2 linked regions of the Drosophila melanogaster genome follow. The protein of the gene in region 1 interacts with the protein of each later gene in a pairwise test. Each region holds a gene or a part of one and is shown in the gene's direction. Other genes may lie near its edges.

Evidence for each region. The genes of interacting proteins can lie anywhere in the genome.
Region 2: the proteins of Smg6 (region 1) and Cul2 interact in a two-hybrid assay, tested with the Drosophila melanogaster proteins (one large-scale study listed by BioGRID).

What each region holds. Positions count from the first base shown.
Region 1 is NT_033777.3:25,028,919-25,035,120, reverse strand, and holds Smg6 (Smg6), read left to right. Parts: upstream 1-1,655; 5' UTR 1,656-1,768; coding exon 1,769-1,961; intron 1,962-2,023; coding exon 2,024-2,394; intron 2,395-2,460; coding exon 2,461-2,910; intron 2,911-2,972; coding exon 2,973-3,352; intron 3,353-3,427; coding exon 3,428-3,570; intron 3,571-3,626; coding exon 3,627-3,762; intron 3,763-3,817; coding exon 3,818-3,913; intron 3,914-3,967; coding exon 3,968-4,765; intron 4,766-5,002; coding exon 5,003-5,139; intron 5,140-5,199; coding exon 5,200-5,342; 3' UTR 5,343-5,692; downstream 5,693-6,202. Other genes in the region: Ythdf (YTH N6-methyladenosine RNA binding protein), read left to right, coding at 1-433, 498-539; Hr96 (hormone receptor-like in 96), read right to left, coding at 6,123-6,202.
Region 2 is NT_033779.5:21,656,791-21,664,199, forward strand, and holds Cul2 (cullin 2), read left to right. Parts: upstream 1-1,944; 5' UTR 1,945-2,171; intron 2,172-2,304; 5' UTR 2,305-2,363; coding exon 2,364-2,482; intron 2,483-3,049; coding exon 3,050-3,274; intron 3,275-3,332; coding exon 3,333-4,410; intron 4,411-4,557; coding exon 4,558-4,675; intron 4,676-4,739; coding exon 4,740-4,846; intron 4,847-5,293; coding exon 5,294-5,662; intron 5,663-5,727; coding exon 5,728-5,841; intron 5,842-5,898; coding exon 5,899-6,030; 3' UTR 6,031-6,908; downstream 6,909-7,409.

The sequences.
Region 1 (6,202 bases):
GAAGCGTCCGCCAATGCATGGGCCCGATGGCAACAACCACGCGCCTGCCCCACTCGCCCGCAGCTTCAATCGCCAGGCGGACGACAAGGACAGGGATCGCGACGGACGCGGCGGCATGTCACAAAAGCACTTCAATTCTGGAGGAGGAGCTGGTTTCCGTAATCCAGGTCATAGGGGTGGCGCCGGCAGTGGCGGATCACACAACAATTACAGCGAGTATCGTCGAGGCTTCGACATTCATAAATCAAGCAGCGACTATCAGTTCAAGGACCGCGATGGCCCGGACTTTGACAGAGAAAATGACTTTGGGTCCCACTACGGGTCCAATAACCGAAAAAATGAATACAAACACAATAATACGAACAAGGCCAGGTTAAAAACCCGAGATCGTGACTTTAGTACTGAACAAATTAAAATCGGCGTGCGCTTTAAGGTGGGTTCATTTGCATCTAAAGATTTAACAATTAACTAATTATTGGAATCGAATTTGATTGCAGGACACGGACAAGGATAAAATGCGAAGCAATGAATATTCATAAATTTACTGAGCTGCTGCGGTAGAATTCTTTTTTAAATGATATTGAATGGACTCCCACAATCCGTTGAATTGCTTAGAGACGTTAAATTATAATTTTTAGATTTTTTAACCATTGCGTGTACAAGATAAAATCCCGATTCATGGCGAGCATATATAACGAACATGTGGGATCTAGGATTAACGATTAAAGTATGATAACATTTTTACGTAATTATTTATTACAATATTTATATAAATCTATTGACGCTCACATTGAACAGTTCATAAAAAAATTAATGATCGATTTTGCCGATATATATACAACATTTATAAACACCAAGGAGTCTGCTTCAGCCATTCCTTGTAGTTGCACTGTAACAATTTATACAACTTATTTGAATCTAAAGTGTACACGACTTATGTATGTATAATATAATTAAAGTAACCAATCCATCAATTACTCATTGACTAATCTACCAACATCTCTCGACACATAAATGCGCTATTTGTAAGAGATTGATCAAAAACTTACCTTTCCAACCAGCTTAAAATAGTATTTTCTAAATAATACTTACACGTAAAGCAATATGGGCCGCATATTATTACTTTCACAGCGCTATCCAATAATTATACGTTAGTGGAAGACTGAAACAGTATAATAAACGAAGTCATGTACGTAACAAAATTAAACCCAACAAAACATGCAAACATAAAGCGAACTCATACTCAAACTGCAACGACTTTTCTGATTCGATGAGCTATTTTTTTTAGTTTGAAATTAAATTTAAATAGAAGGCTAAATGAGAGGCAGAAACAATGGATCTTGGTTTTGTGATCTGTGGCGAATGAAATGGGTAAGTAATGTTCTGAGGTCAAAATGAAAATTAAGAATTCTCCATGCTTAAATGTACCTTTAGAATTCCATTTCATACTGGCAAATTGGTTATTTTGTCGCTAAAATAGAAGTGCAGATAGTTTATCTCTATATATTTTCAAAAATCAAGCATTCCGGTCAAAAGAAATCAATTCTAAAGCAAACGTTGAAAATCATTTGGCATTCAAATCTGGCGCCTAAAAAATGCGTATGTCAGCAGTCCAAACAGCATTGTTAGCGGTCTGGTCACACTCATCCGCCTTGGCCACCGGTCACACTGCTGATCTAAAGATTTTTCGAGGCGTAATTTACACTCTACACATTTGACAAACTTCCAAGAAAGGAATAAATGCAACAGCAAAAGCATCGTTTAAAATATGAGTCGAAAGGGAACACGAGAACAAAATGATATATCGCTGATAATTGGGACGCTGCCGAAACGCCTGCAGAACAAAATCGCGGCCAGCTGCAGCCACGCAGCAGCAGCGGCAACAACAACAAAGGCGTTGGAGACGGAAAACGCTGAGAATGCGGAGCCCGTGGCTACGACAGCAAATGCTTCAAGGCCAGGTGAGTGTTTGCATGACGCATCACAATAGGTTCGTCAATAACATCTCTTAATTTCGCCACAGTCGAAATCCTGAGCAATGCTAGCACAGGAGGAGGCAAACCCGATGCCCAGTCAAAGCAACCCGTTTTGGATACCAGCGGGAAAATGGCGTGGGAGGGCGGGATTCCAGGCATCCTGCGCGTGACCACCTCGGTGGCGGGCGATGTTAACAGGAACGGACAGGGTCAGGGCAAGAACAAGAGCGGTAACAGTGCTCGGCGCAGGGGTCGCAAGGACAAGGAGCACGCTACGCAGTCGCCAGTGACGCGCACGCGCTTGACCACCGAGCATCCGGATTGGTTTGAGCCGCTGTTGGGTCTGCCCCATGCCAAGAATATAGTCCATCTGTACGATCAGCTCATGGTCCTCAATCAGAGGAATCTCATACTGATAGTAAGTATATATAGCTGGGCAACAAAAGCCACCCTCACTAAACAAACATCATGTAATCTCGCCCAGAACTGGAAGAACTTCTGCTACATTCACGACCAGCTGCAGGACGCTTTCAAGCAACTTCTTTTGGAGCAACTTAAGTTCGTGTGCGAGCACAAGGTTGATGTCTTCTTTTGGAAACTACTCTTCTACAATGTGCGGAATTACTTGAAGCGCCAGCAAACGGACCAGGCGCACACACATACGCTCCTTTTGATTGAACAGGCCATTAAGTTTTACCGCATGCTCTACGACAAGCTGATGGCCAAGTGCGTGGCATCGTCGCGCTGTGACAGCGCACTTAAAGTGGTGGCCCAGAGGCTGCTCATCTGTTTGGGCGATCTGACGCGCTACCGGGTTAACCATGTCAAGGCCACAGATTACATGGAGGCGGCCAGGTACTATCAGAGGGCGCAGGAACTGGTACCTGGCAACGGGGCACCTTTCAACCAGCTGGCGGTCATTTCCATTTATCACGTAAGAAAAAAAGCTACACAGAATTCTTTATTGTGGTTATAATCTTTATATTTCCCCTTTAGCACAAGCGCTTCGATGCAGTTTATTACTATGTCCGCAGCTTGTTGACTTCGAACTCTATCCAATCTGCCAAGGAAAGCCTGCTGGATTTGTTCGACGAGATTCGGCGTAAGTACGAGGAGACCGAGATGAAGCAATCTCCCATGCACTATGCAGCTGGATCGAAGAATCAAAAGTCGAAGCAGATGCGCAAGGAGGTATGGATCTATCCGGATGGGATCAGACGCCTACATCGCACCGATGACAAGGGCAACAAGGCGAAGGGCAACAAGGCCACTATGGCAGAGGTCAATCGTTACGAGGAGATGCCGCCGGAGGAGATTCTTCCTCGCATTGTTTCCCTTTATCTGTACTTATTAGGCAAACTCTACACCGGCACAGAGTGAGTATATTCAACTTTGATTTTAATGTGAAAGTTGAAAACCGATAGGTTACTTAACTTTCGAATTGATTACAGTGTGGACTCGTTATACCCGTTGCTAAGGAAACTGCAAATCCAAATAGGCGTCGCTTTAAGGCACGAAAACCTGTTGTCACGCTCCAAACTGCTGAAAATAGTAGCACTCAACTTGTTCGTCGTCGAGCACAACAAACCCAAAAGTATGAATGATAACGGCTAATCGTGGTAAAACTTAATGCTTTCTATTATTGTATAGCGTCACGCCGCGAGATGCGTTATCACAGCTTCAATTTTGCCAACTCATTCTTTGGACTCATGATGAAGAAAACGAACCAGCTGCTGGCTGGTTTTGTAGAGGATTCTACAAATGTCCAGTGTCTCCCAGAAGAAGAGTAAGCTAAAATTCGCCTTGTTTATTTATTATTGCTAATTAATCTTTTATTTCAGCTTTGCGACTGTGAACACATACCTACAGTTCGTGAATGTTTATGTACGTTGGTTGAGCATCAGTTTGGACGTGTGGGAACCCGTCAGATCGGAAGAGTATGTATAAATTGAATGCCTTTTATTAGTTTTTCATTAACTCCAATATTGCAGACACTCTTTCATCGATTGCTGGGCTGAGCTAACAATCCTTTTTGAGTACATTGAATGCTTAATGGGGAAGCACAAACTTGAGAAAAACGAAATACTGTTGGATGAGGATGTGGCCCTTAGAGGTTTCACTCCGTTGGGTCGTGAAACGCTGAGCATGGACTATCTCAAAAGAGGATCCGAACGTCTTCAGTTTTTCGAACGTGTTCGTAGGATTGGTCAGTTCCAGGAATACTACGTCCAGCATCAAGAGGCTCTCCAGCAGCCGTTGGAATCAAGCTTCACTGTCGAGCACCTAAACGCAGCGATGAAGAACGCATTGGAAAACTATGATGCTGAAAGTTGTGGTCTTGCGGCGAACGTTTCAAAGATTCAATGTAAAGCCGTTGAGGAATTGTTGTGTCGTTCAACTGATTCCGATGTTTCCGAGCTGTGCAAGCTGAAGAAAGAGCTTGAGGCCAAGGCTAGGGTTAAGCAGATATGCACCAGCAAGTTGGAGGACATTCTCAAGTTCGTGGACACGAAAATATACATCGAGGTGCGACCGCGCTATCTTCTACCGGATACCAACTGCTTTATCGACTGCCTTGAAGACTTTGAAAAACTGTCCACGGAGTTTAAACGCTACACACTTATTATACCACTGACAGTGGTTAAGGAACTGGATGGCCTCTCCAAGGGCGTTAAGTTGGACTCGTACCGCAGTTCGAAGCAGACGCAGCGCATCCACCACTTTGACGAGGTGTCGTCGCGGGCCAAAAAGTCGTTAGAGTTCATCAAGTCGGCCAAAGGCAATGTGAAGTAAGCTATTGTTAATTATATTCCGCGCGTCAGCTCATAGTTCCTTTATTACTGATATCTGATAAAGGGTTTACTAGCGATTAGCTATTTATAATTCTGTCTAATTCATTGGTTGCTATTGAGATAGATAAAAGTTTCCTGATAATGTATTGAAATTTTACTTTTAAATCAGTAGTAATAGTTGTTCAGGAAAGCTTTTCCTGCTGATCAATAATACCTTATTGATTTCTTTTCTAGATGTGCTACCACAAAGGGCTCGTTTGTCAATGCATCGGTGTTTGCCCTAGTTGAGGAGGAATATTTGTCCAATGACGACAAGATTCTGGCAACGGCAATGGCTGTCTCGAAAACGGCAAAAACCGAACAATGCACAGGTGAGCTGCTTCCGTTAAATGTCCTTCCTGATAGCATTTCTAACTAAAACTCTTTTGCAGATGGCAAGTGTTTCATTCAAACGGAATTGGTGCTCATTACAACCGATCGTAATCTGCGTGTGAAGGCTCTTTCTCGCAATTTGGCCGTCAGCGCGTTGGATGAGTTTCTGCAATGGGCCAAGGATTGCCGCGAATCAACCTGAAAGCCGATTTGCGCGGCGAGTGGACCGGATAACAATTGGAATGGACTTGCACGACGCACATTGGTGGTGCGGAGCGAGCTCGAGCTATTATATTACCTACATTATACATAAATGACTATGTAAGACGGGGTCGGCAGATGCGGACACATACGCTGGCTGCGGATACGTACACGACGTGGATTTCTGAGGACTGGTCGCGGGTACACATGCGCGGTTGCTGTGGTGTTTCCCCGGGTTGATGCTTTAACGAAGCACATCTCTCGTTGGTTTCCAAACATCTTATTTGTTTTTTCCTACTTCGAATTTTTATTTTGTGACTTTCGGAATTAAATTATTTTGGATTGTTGTTCAAAATCACTCGTTTGCGTAATTTGTCCTGGAGGGTTCGAAATTCATTCGAGTAGAAAAGAATACGAGACATTTTATTACCACTGGTTCTCAAAGTCAGTTTATTTTTTTTGTCTTTTTTCCTTTTTGCACAGAACCCACGCTTCCAAGTTAGTTATTGCATTATCGTCTAGTTTATTTGAAACTAGGTAAACGGTGTACATTACATATAGATTGTGTTGCTTTGCACTTGGTATCCTAAATATGCTCTCTTTGATGTAGAAATATAAAATCTATGCAGTATATGCAAATCTAACAATCACATTCGATTAAAATCTAACATTACAAGCGACAAGATAAAACAGACATCAACAACAACAACAACTACAGCTTGTTGACCATTCATCATTGGGCATCAACATAGGCATTAAATGCCCGACACGCATCGGTTGTCTAGTGATTTTTCAAATCGAATATTTCACGCAGCAAGGGCTCCACCTGGGATGGGTTAACATTCAAATAGACATTAATTA
Region 2 (7,409 bases), on another chromosome or scaffold:
ACAAAATCCGAATTACGCGTAATTCTTAACTCTACACGCATTGCCAACACATTTTGGAGACCCACTCCAGTCCGCACTAGTGCACACCGCATTTTTCTGTACGCTTCCGTTATTCCTGCAGAAATCTACTTGCACCCGCTCCTACCCGCGACCAGAAACTCTAACGGTTCTCTGCCGCGCATCAAAAGAATAGAAAAGGCAATTACTAGAAATGTCGTTACATTTAAATGATCTGCGACATATACAAGTTGTCCACGTACATGTTGATATACAAATTCAAAACTCCAATCTCAGCAGCAGATAAATAACCAAACTTAAAGTAAACACCAGTCAGAAAATTTCAATTTCACAATGCTGTGAAATAATTTCAGTATAAAGCTTTTATCCTAAACATATTTGAAGTTCCAGAAAATTCTAAAAAATTTCTAGGTTGAGTGGATTAGGATTTAGATTTAGAAAATCAGTCTAAGTCCGGACGAGATTGTGAACATTTTCAAATTAAGGATAAGATAAGATAAATAAATTTTAAATTTTAATTTACATGTATCTACATATGTTGGCTGTTGTCTATCCCAGTTTCGAAAACAATGCATGTAAAAAGCGTGTAGTCACAGAAAAATTATATCTCCACGAAAACTGTGGATTAAATTGTAATCAAACTTTTTACACAAATAATGAAATTACAACATTTTTAAGATACCGTGCAATTTGAAGTTTATTTAATTTTTTGGAATTCACCTCCAAATAACGATTAAGAAATAAATACAAAACGTCTGCCGTGCTGATGGCTCAGGCTTTCCTCAGGCTGGAGTACCCCCCATGCCACAGCTCTAAACACTAAAGTCGATAACCACCGACGTCTCACAACACTGAAAATGTAAGCAATGTTAAAGCGAACACAAAGACAAAAAATTTAAATGTTTTGAAATGCTTAGAACATCACACCTTTTGGTAAATCGGAGTCCGAATTCTTTAAATAATTCTCGGTATATATATTAATTATTTTTTACATCATTTACATCTCAATCCATTTCTCCATCAGTATATGGTATCACACTTGGATCGACGACTGCTACATTGGATAGGTCAAAGTGAAATGTGTGGATGGCCTTTGGAAGCTACAAAGGCTGGAAATAGTGGTAGGCGATGTGCCAATTTTTGGCGCATATGGAAGGTTGCAAGTATTGATCACCGGCGGCTACGGTGGATGTGGCTCCAATTTATTCTTTGGAGTAAATTTCCGGTTTGGTGGATAAAAAAGTTCCAATCGACTGACAACCAACAGACAACTAAAAAAATTTGGCGCTCAACGATCTTAGCCATTGACAAATATGAGACTTTCTGATTTTTTGAGCTATACATTTTGTAAATTTTTGTTTCTTTAAGCTTAATGGTTTTTTCGTTTGTTTATCTTAGCCTTTATATATTTTCTTAGTAATTAAACATGTATTTATTTTGTATCTATCTCTTTGTATTTGTATTTTTTTGTATGTATCTCTGTTTGCCTTTTCGAAAGCCACATCTAGGCACTTAACAGTTTAGACCTTTAAAACTCGGTCTGTACAAAATGGATCATTCTTCTAGATCATACACTTACCTTTAAGGCATAACCCTTAACTCACTTTTGAAATCTTTTGAAAATGTATATTCTTTTGAACAAAAAGGTTGGCACTCGAGAGCAATAGCAATACGTATAAGCAATCGAAAAAAACGAAAATCATAAAAAATCCTAACATTATTACAGTTCACATATGAAATCAATTTAGGTTTGTGCACTTACAGTTTTTTAAGAAAATGGCTTTGGCCAGTTTTTAGGCAGGAAGGTAAAAAATTTGTTCAGTGGATCGGCGTTGACAATAAATTAAGATCAAAACAAAAGCAAACGTTTCGGTAGTGGAGACACGACATTCTTTTTACATCGAATTTTTTGTCGAGTTCAAATATCGATAGATTATATCGATATCGTCTTCGTCTGACAAACCATTTCACGATACCAAAAAAAAAGTGCAAAAATAACTAAATTCTCGGCGTAATTATTTAGTAAATAGCGTAGCTAAGCAGCAGGTGAGTAGGTCGCAAGCGCGCCCCTCCACGATCCATCAAGCGGTAATTGGCCTGCTGTGCAATTGCTCGAGGACAAGGCCATTTGCCTGGTGGCCCCCACGCAAAAAGTAAGCGATTATGCCAAAAAGCAAAGCAGAAGTGGTCTCTGCCAACGCATGAGGGTCGCTCGGTCGCCCATTGTTATATTTGCGAAGGCAGAATCAGTCGGCGTTCTAATTAGCGTGCACCCTGTCCCATCAGAAAACCCTTCCAAATCCATATCCAGACGGACCACGGATTAGGACTAAGACCCATTTGACATGTCGCTCAAGCCCAAAATAGTGGAGTTTGTCGATGTTTGGCCGCGCCTGCGCTGCATCGCCGAGTCGGTGATAACGCTCACCAAAGTGGAGCGCTCGGTGTGGAATACTAGCTTCAGGTACGTCTTGGCAACGGTCGGAGTATTAAACAGCCTGGAGAGAGATATTGTGATAGGTCACTAGAGACTACAAAGTTACCCAACTCAGAAGAAACACAAATAACACTAACTAACTTTTAAATTAATCCAACATAAGTAATGGTTTCAATCACATTATTTTGCATTTGAGTTGGTAAACTATGAATGTACTAGTACCTAGCGGTTCAACTATATATTTTATTCAACAGCAAAATTCACAAATATAGCTGCTAGCGAGGCGAAAATGATTTGGTAAATGTCGTAGAATCTTGATAAATGCAATCATAGTTTTAATAATAAATGCCTGTTTTCTAGCTTGAATTTAAATATTTTGACCGCTTAAAGGTTAAACTAAGTTCAAGTAAATATTAAATAGATCGATGACGTATCTTTTTAAAATTAATAATCAAAACAGTGTAACGCAGGCTGCTTTTATTCTGACCGCAACTGTTCGTATATATGTGTGAAGCGTGAGTTGCCAAAATAAAATTTCTAAAATAACGAGCACTAATACATCTGTCTTTCCAATCACATTCCTTTAACATATAGCGACGTTTACACACTGTGCGTGGCGCAGCCGGAACCGATGGCTGATCGTCTTTATGGCGAAACAAAACACTTTCTTGAGCAGCACGTCCAGGAGATGCTGGCCAAAAAGGTGCTGATCGAGGGAGAATGCTCCCATTCCAATGGTGGCCCAGACCTTCTCCAGCGTTACTACATCACCTGGATGGAATATAGCCAGGGTATCAAGTATCTGCACCAATTGTACATGTAAGAATGCATCGAAGTCTGTAATAACTCAATGATCGTTGGAATTAATTTCCTTTAGCTACCTGAATCAACAACACATCAAGAAACAAAAGATTACCGATACGGAATCGTTCTACGGTAATCTGTCAAGCGATGCTGCGGAGCAGATGGAGATTGGCGAGCTAGGTCTAGACATTTGGCGCCTGTATATGATTGAGTACTTGTCCAGCGAACTGGTCCGTCACATACTCGAGGGCATTGCCGCAGACAGAGCTAGCAATGGCACCTTGGATCACCATCGCGTGCAAATTATCAACGGAGTGATACACAGCTTCGTGGAGGTACAGGACTATAAGAAAACAGGCTCGCTTAAGCTCTACCAGGAACTCTTTGAAGGCCCCATGCTGGAGGCCAGTGGCGCCTACTACACAGACGAGGCTAACAAGTTGCTCCATCGGTGCTCAGTGTCGGAGTACATGCAGGAGGTTATCCGGATACTGGAATATGAAAGCCGGAGAGCCCAAAAGTTTTTACACGTCAGTTCCCTGCCAAAACTACGTAAAGAGTGCGAGGAGAAGTTTATTAACGATCGTTTGGGCTTCATCTACTCGGAGTGCCGCGAAATGGTTTCAGAGGAGCGGCGCCAAGACTTACGCAACATGTACGTCGTACTAAAGCCCATACCCGATAATCTCAAGTCTGAGCTCATAACCACCTTCCTCGATCACATCAAAAGTGAAGGTCTGCAGACCGTATCTGCGCTGAAGGGCGAAAACATCCATATTGCGTTCGTAGAGAATATGTTGAAGGTACATCACAAGTACCAAGAGCTGATCGCAGACGTCTTCGAAAACGATTCTCTATTCCTGAGCGCATTAGACAAGGCGTGCGCCAGCGTTATCAATCGCCGGCCAACCGAGCGGCAGCCTTGCCGTAGTGCCGAGTATGTGGCGAAATACTGTGATACGCTACTGAAAAAGTCTAAGACCTGCGAGGCAGAGATCGATCAAAAGCTTACTAACAACATAACCATATTTAAATATATCGAGGATAAGGATGTGTATCAAAAGTTTTATAGCCGACTGTTAGCCAAGCGCCTAATCCACGAGCAAAGTCAGAGCATGGATGCGGAGGAGGGAATGATCAATCGTTTGAAGGTGCGTGGTCTGCTAGTCTAAAATGTACTTCACAGTGAATAACTGCAATAATGTGAATTATTTATTTTTAATGCTGTTTTAATTTGTTATGACCCTTTTACAAAACTACATTAGCTTAAATAGATCTTCTTTTATTAATACTTACAGCAAGCCTGCGGTTATGAATTTACCAATAAACTTCATCGCATGTTTACGGATATATCGGTATCAGTAGATCTGAACAACAAGTTTAATACTCACCTTAAGGATAGCAATGTGGACTTAGGTGAGACGGAAAATGTATATTCATTAAAGATAGTTTATTTTTATGTATGTGTATTTCTATGCAGGCATCAACCTTGCCATTAAGGTACTGCAGGCGGGCGCGTGGCCCTTGGGATCTACTCAAGTTATACCATTTGCAGTACCACAGGAATTTGAAAAATCTATTAAAATGGTACGTTTTTCGTAAATGTATATATTTTATTTTAAAACGAGATAGAAGCTGCCTTTGACAAACCAAAGTTATAAAAAATTTTTTTCAGACTTTCTTTATTTAGTCAAATTTTTAAAGAGAGGCCTTTTAACAATATTCAGAAACATATATAAATATTTAAAGCAGCAATAAATACAAATAATATATAATAATAAATACAGAAAAACCTTTATGTAAAAAACTTTCCTTCAAATCGACGACTACATCGTAAGGTGTTCTCTTGAAATGTGTGACATATAGAAAGTTAAAAGTATCTTTATTTCAATAAAGGTACTTTAGCATACCAAATCAAAACGCAACTTCTTTTGGTCCAAATACATCTTAAACCGTGTGACTTTGTCGAAGGTACTTCAGAAATTTTAAATGTATACGTTAATCGTGTACTGTACCTTTGTTATGATTTTTCAGTTCGAGGATTACTATCATAAATTATTTAGTGGCCGGAAGTTGACTTGGCTACATCACATGTGTCATGGAGAATTAAAGTTGAGCCATTTGAAAAAATCTTATATCGTGACTATGCAAACATACCAGATGGCGATAATACTGCTGTTCGAGACTTGTGATAGTCTGAGTTGTCGGGAGATCCAGAACACCTTACAGCTAAACGACGAAACGTTTCAAAAGCACATGCAGCCTATTATCGAGTCAAAGCTTTTAAATGCCAGCTCAGAGAATCTCGCCGGTGAGACTCGAATAGAATTAAATTTGGATTACACAAATAAGCGTACAAAGTTTAAAATAAGTTCGGCTTTGCAAAAAGAAACGCCACAGGAGGTAAGGCATTTCGATTTCAACCTGGTTACCTGGTACCTGGTTTTCTAACGACGTTATTTATGTAGGTTGAGCACACAATTAACTCGGTAGATGAGGACCGAAAACTCTTTCTACAAGCCGCCATTGTAAGGATTATGAAAGCGCGTAAAGTCTTAAAGCACAATGCCTTAATACAAGAGGTAATATCTAAAACACCTGACTGTGAATTAAAATTACATGATGTATTTTTTCTTTAGGTTCTCTCTTTATCGAAGGTTAGCTTTACTCCCAACATAGCAATGATCAAGAAATGCGTGGAGTCATTAATTGACAAACAATATATTGAGCGAACGGCGAACTCGGGCGATGAATATAGCTACATGGCATAGACTGCGGTAGAGATTTTTTATTCTTAAACAAGAACCTTCCCGGACAACAACCTCCCATACACACAACTGACGCTAACCAAGCGGCTTATTTTGTCTAAAAAGAACTACCTACAATGTTAAAAAAAGAAATCAAAAGGTCAAGCAATTTGAGTTTTGTTATTTTTGTGGTCATAGCATATTGGTATGAAAGGTGTGTGGAAATCAAACGACGTTACTGATACTTTTAATTTAGCTTAGTTAGTTGATCCATTTTGATTTAATGCGTGTGTCCTATTCAATTGTAGATATAATATATTTCTTTATGTATTGTATATTTATCTGGTTTTATTAACACACGCACAAACCAGAATAATGTGCTGGAAAATGTATAATAAATCCCAAAAAATGTCTAAAAATATGTCATTCAAAGTATTTCGTATCCTGTGCGTTAACGCTGTACCACTGTACACTTCAAATTTACATAAATGAATGCTGTGCAAAAAGCAGTCAGCATTGCAGTTTAAGTATGCGGATAGAGATCTGTACTTTTTATTTGGTCGTCTCGGAAAAAACTGGATCTATTGTCCGGAATCCCATTCTTATAATTTTTTGATTTTCTAGTACTTTTTAATAACGAATCCGGGTAGAAATAGGCGTACCACCACCTACAAATTGGCATATCGTATATTGAGCTTTGAGTTGTCAAAGTGCCAAAGAAAGTGTAAAAGCAAACATTTTTCGAAACTTTCAAGATTGCTAAGATTCTTAGATTTTGTTTTAAAAGAGCTTTTAAGGACTTTCCCATCTTTTTGTTTTTGCTCACACATTTTATTGGACCTTGGTTTAAAATATAAAATTCCCTTAAATTCTTTTACTAATCTTAGAATGTCGATTTTATTAATTTACAATACCTTGTACGTATGTTCAGTAACCATTTAAGTTTCGCCTTTGCCAAGAAATCCAATATTTGTATATATTAAATACCCAAGGGCCGTGGATTATATTTGTTTTTAGTCATTTTTATTTCTTTTGTGCTACTTTTCTAAAAAATATATATCATAATGGTAAATTAATTAATTTTACAAATATGTATATGTAACTTAATAGTTAATTATAAAAATTATTAACTTCCTATATCAAATAACACTAGTTCATTGAACGGAATAAATAAAAAATACTTTTAAGTCGCTGATAACATTAATTTGTTTTGATAAATTCGGTAGAACATGATTGTAATTTGTTTCGCGATAAAAAAAGCGGTCCCATAAAAATCTTTTTAACGCTTCTGAATCCATGGCCATACCCTGAAAACAACTGCCTTCAACGACTTAAAAGCATTTTGGATGTAATAGCTGTAACTGTAATACAATTCGTTAATAATAATTTTATCTTGTTTTTGA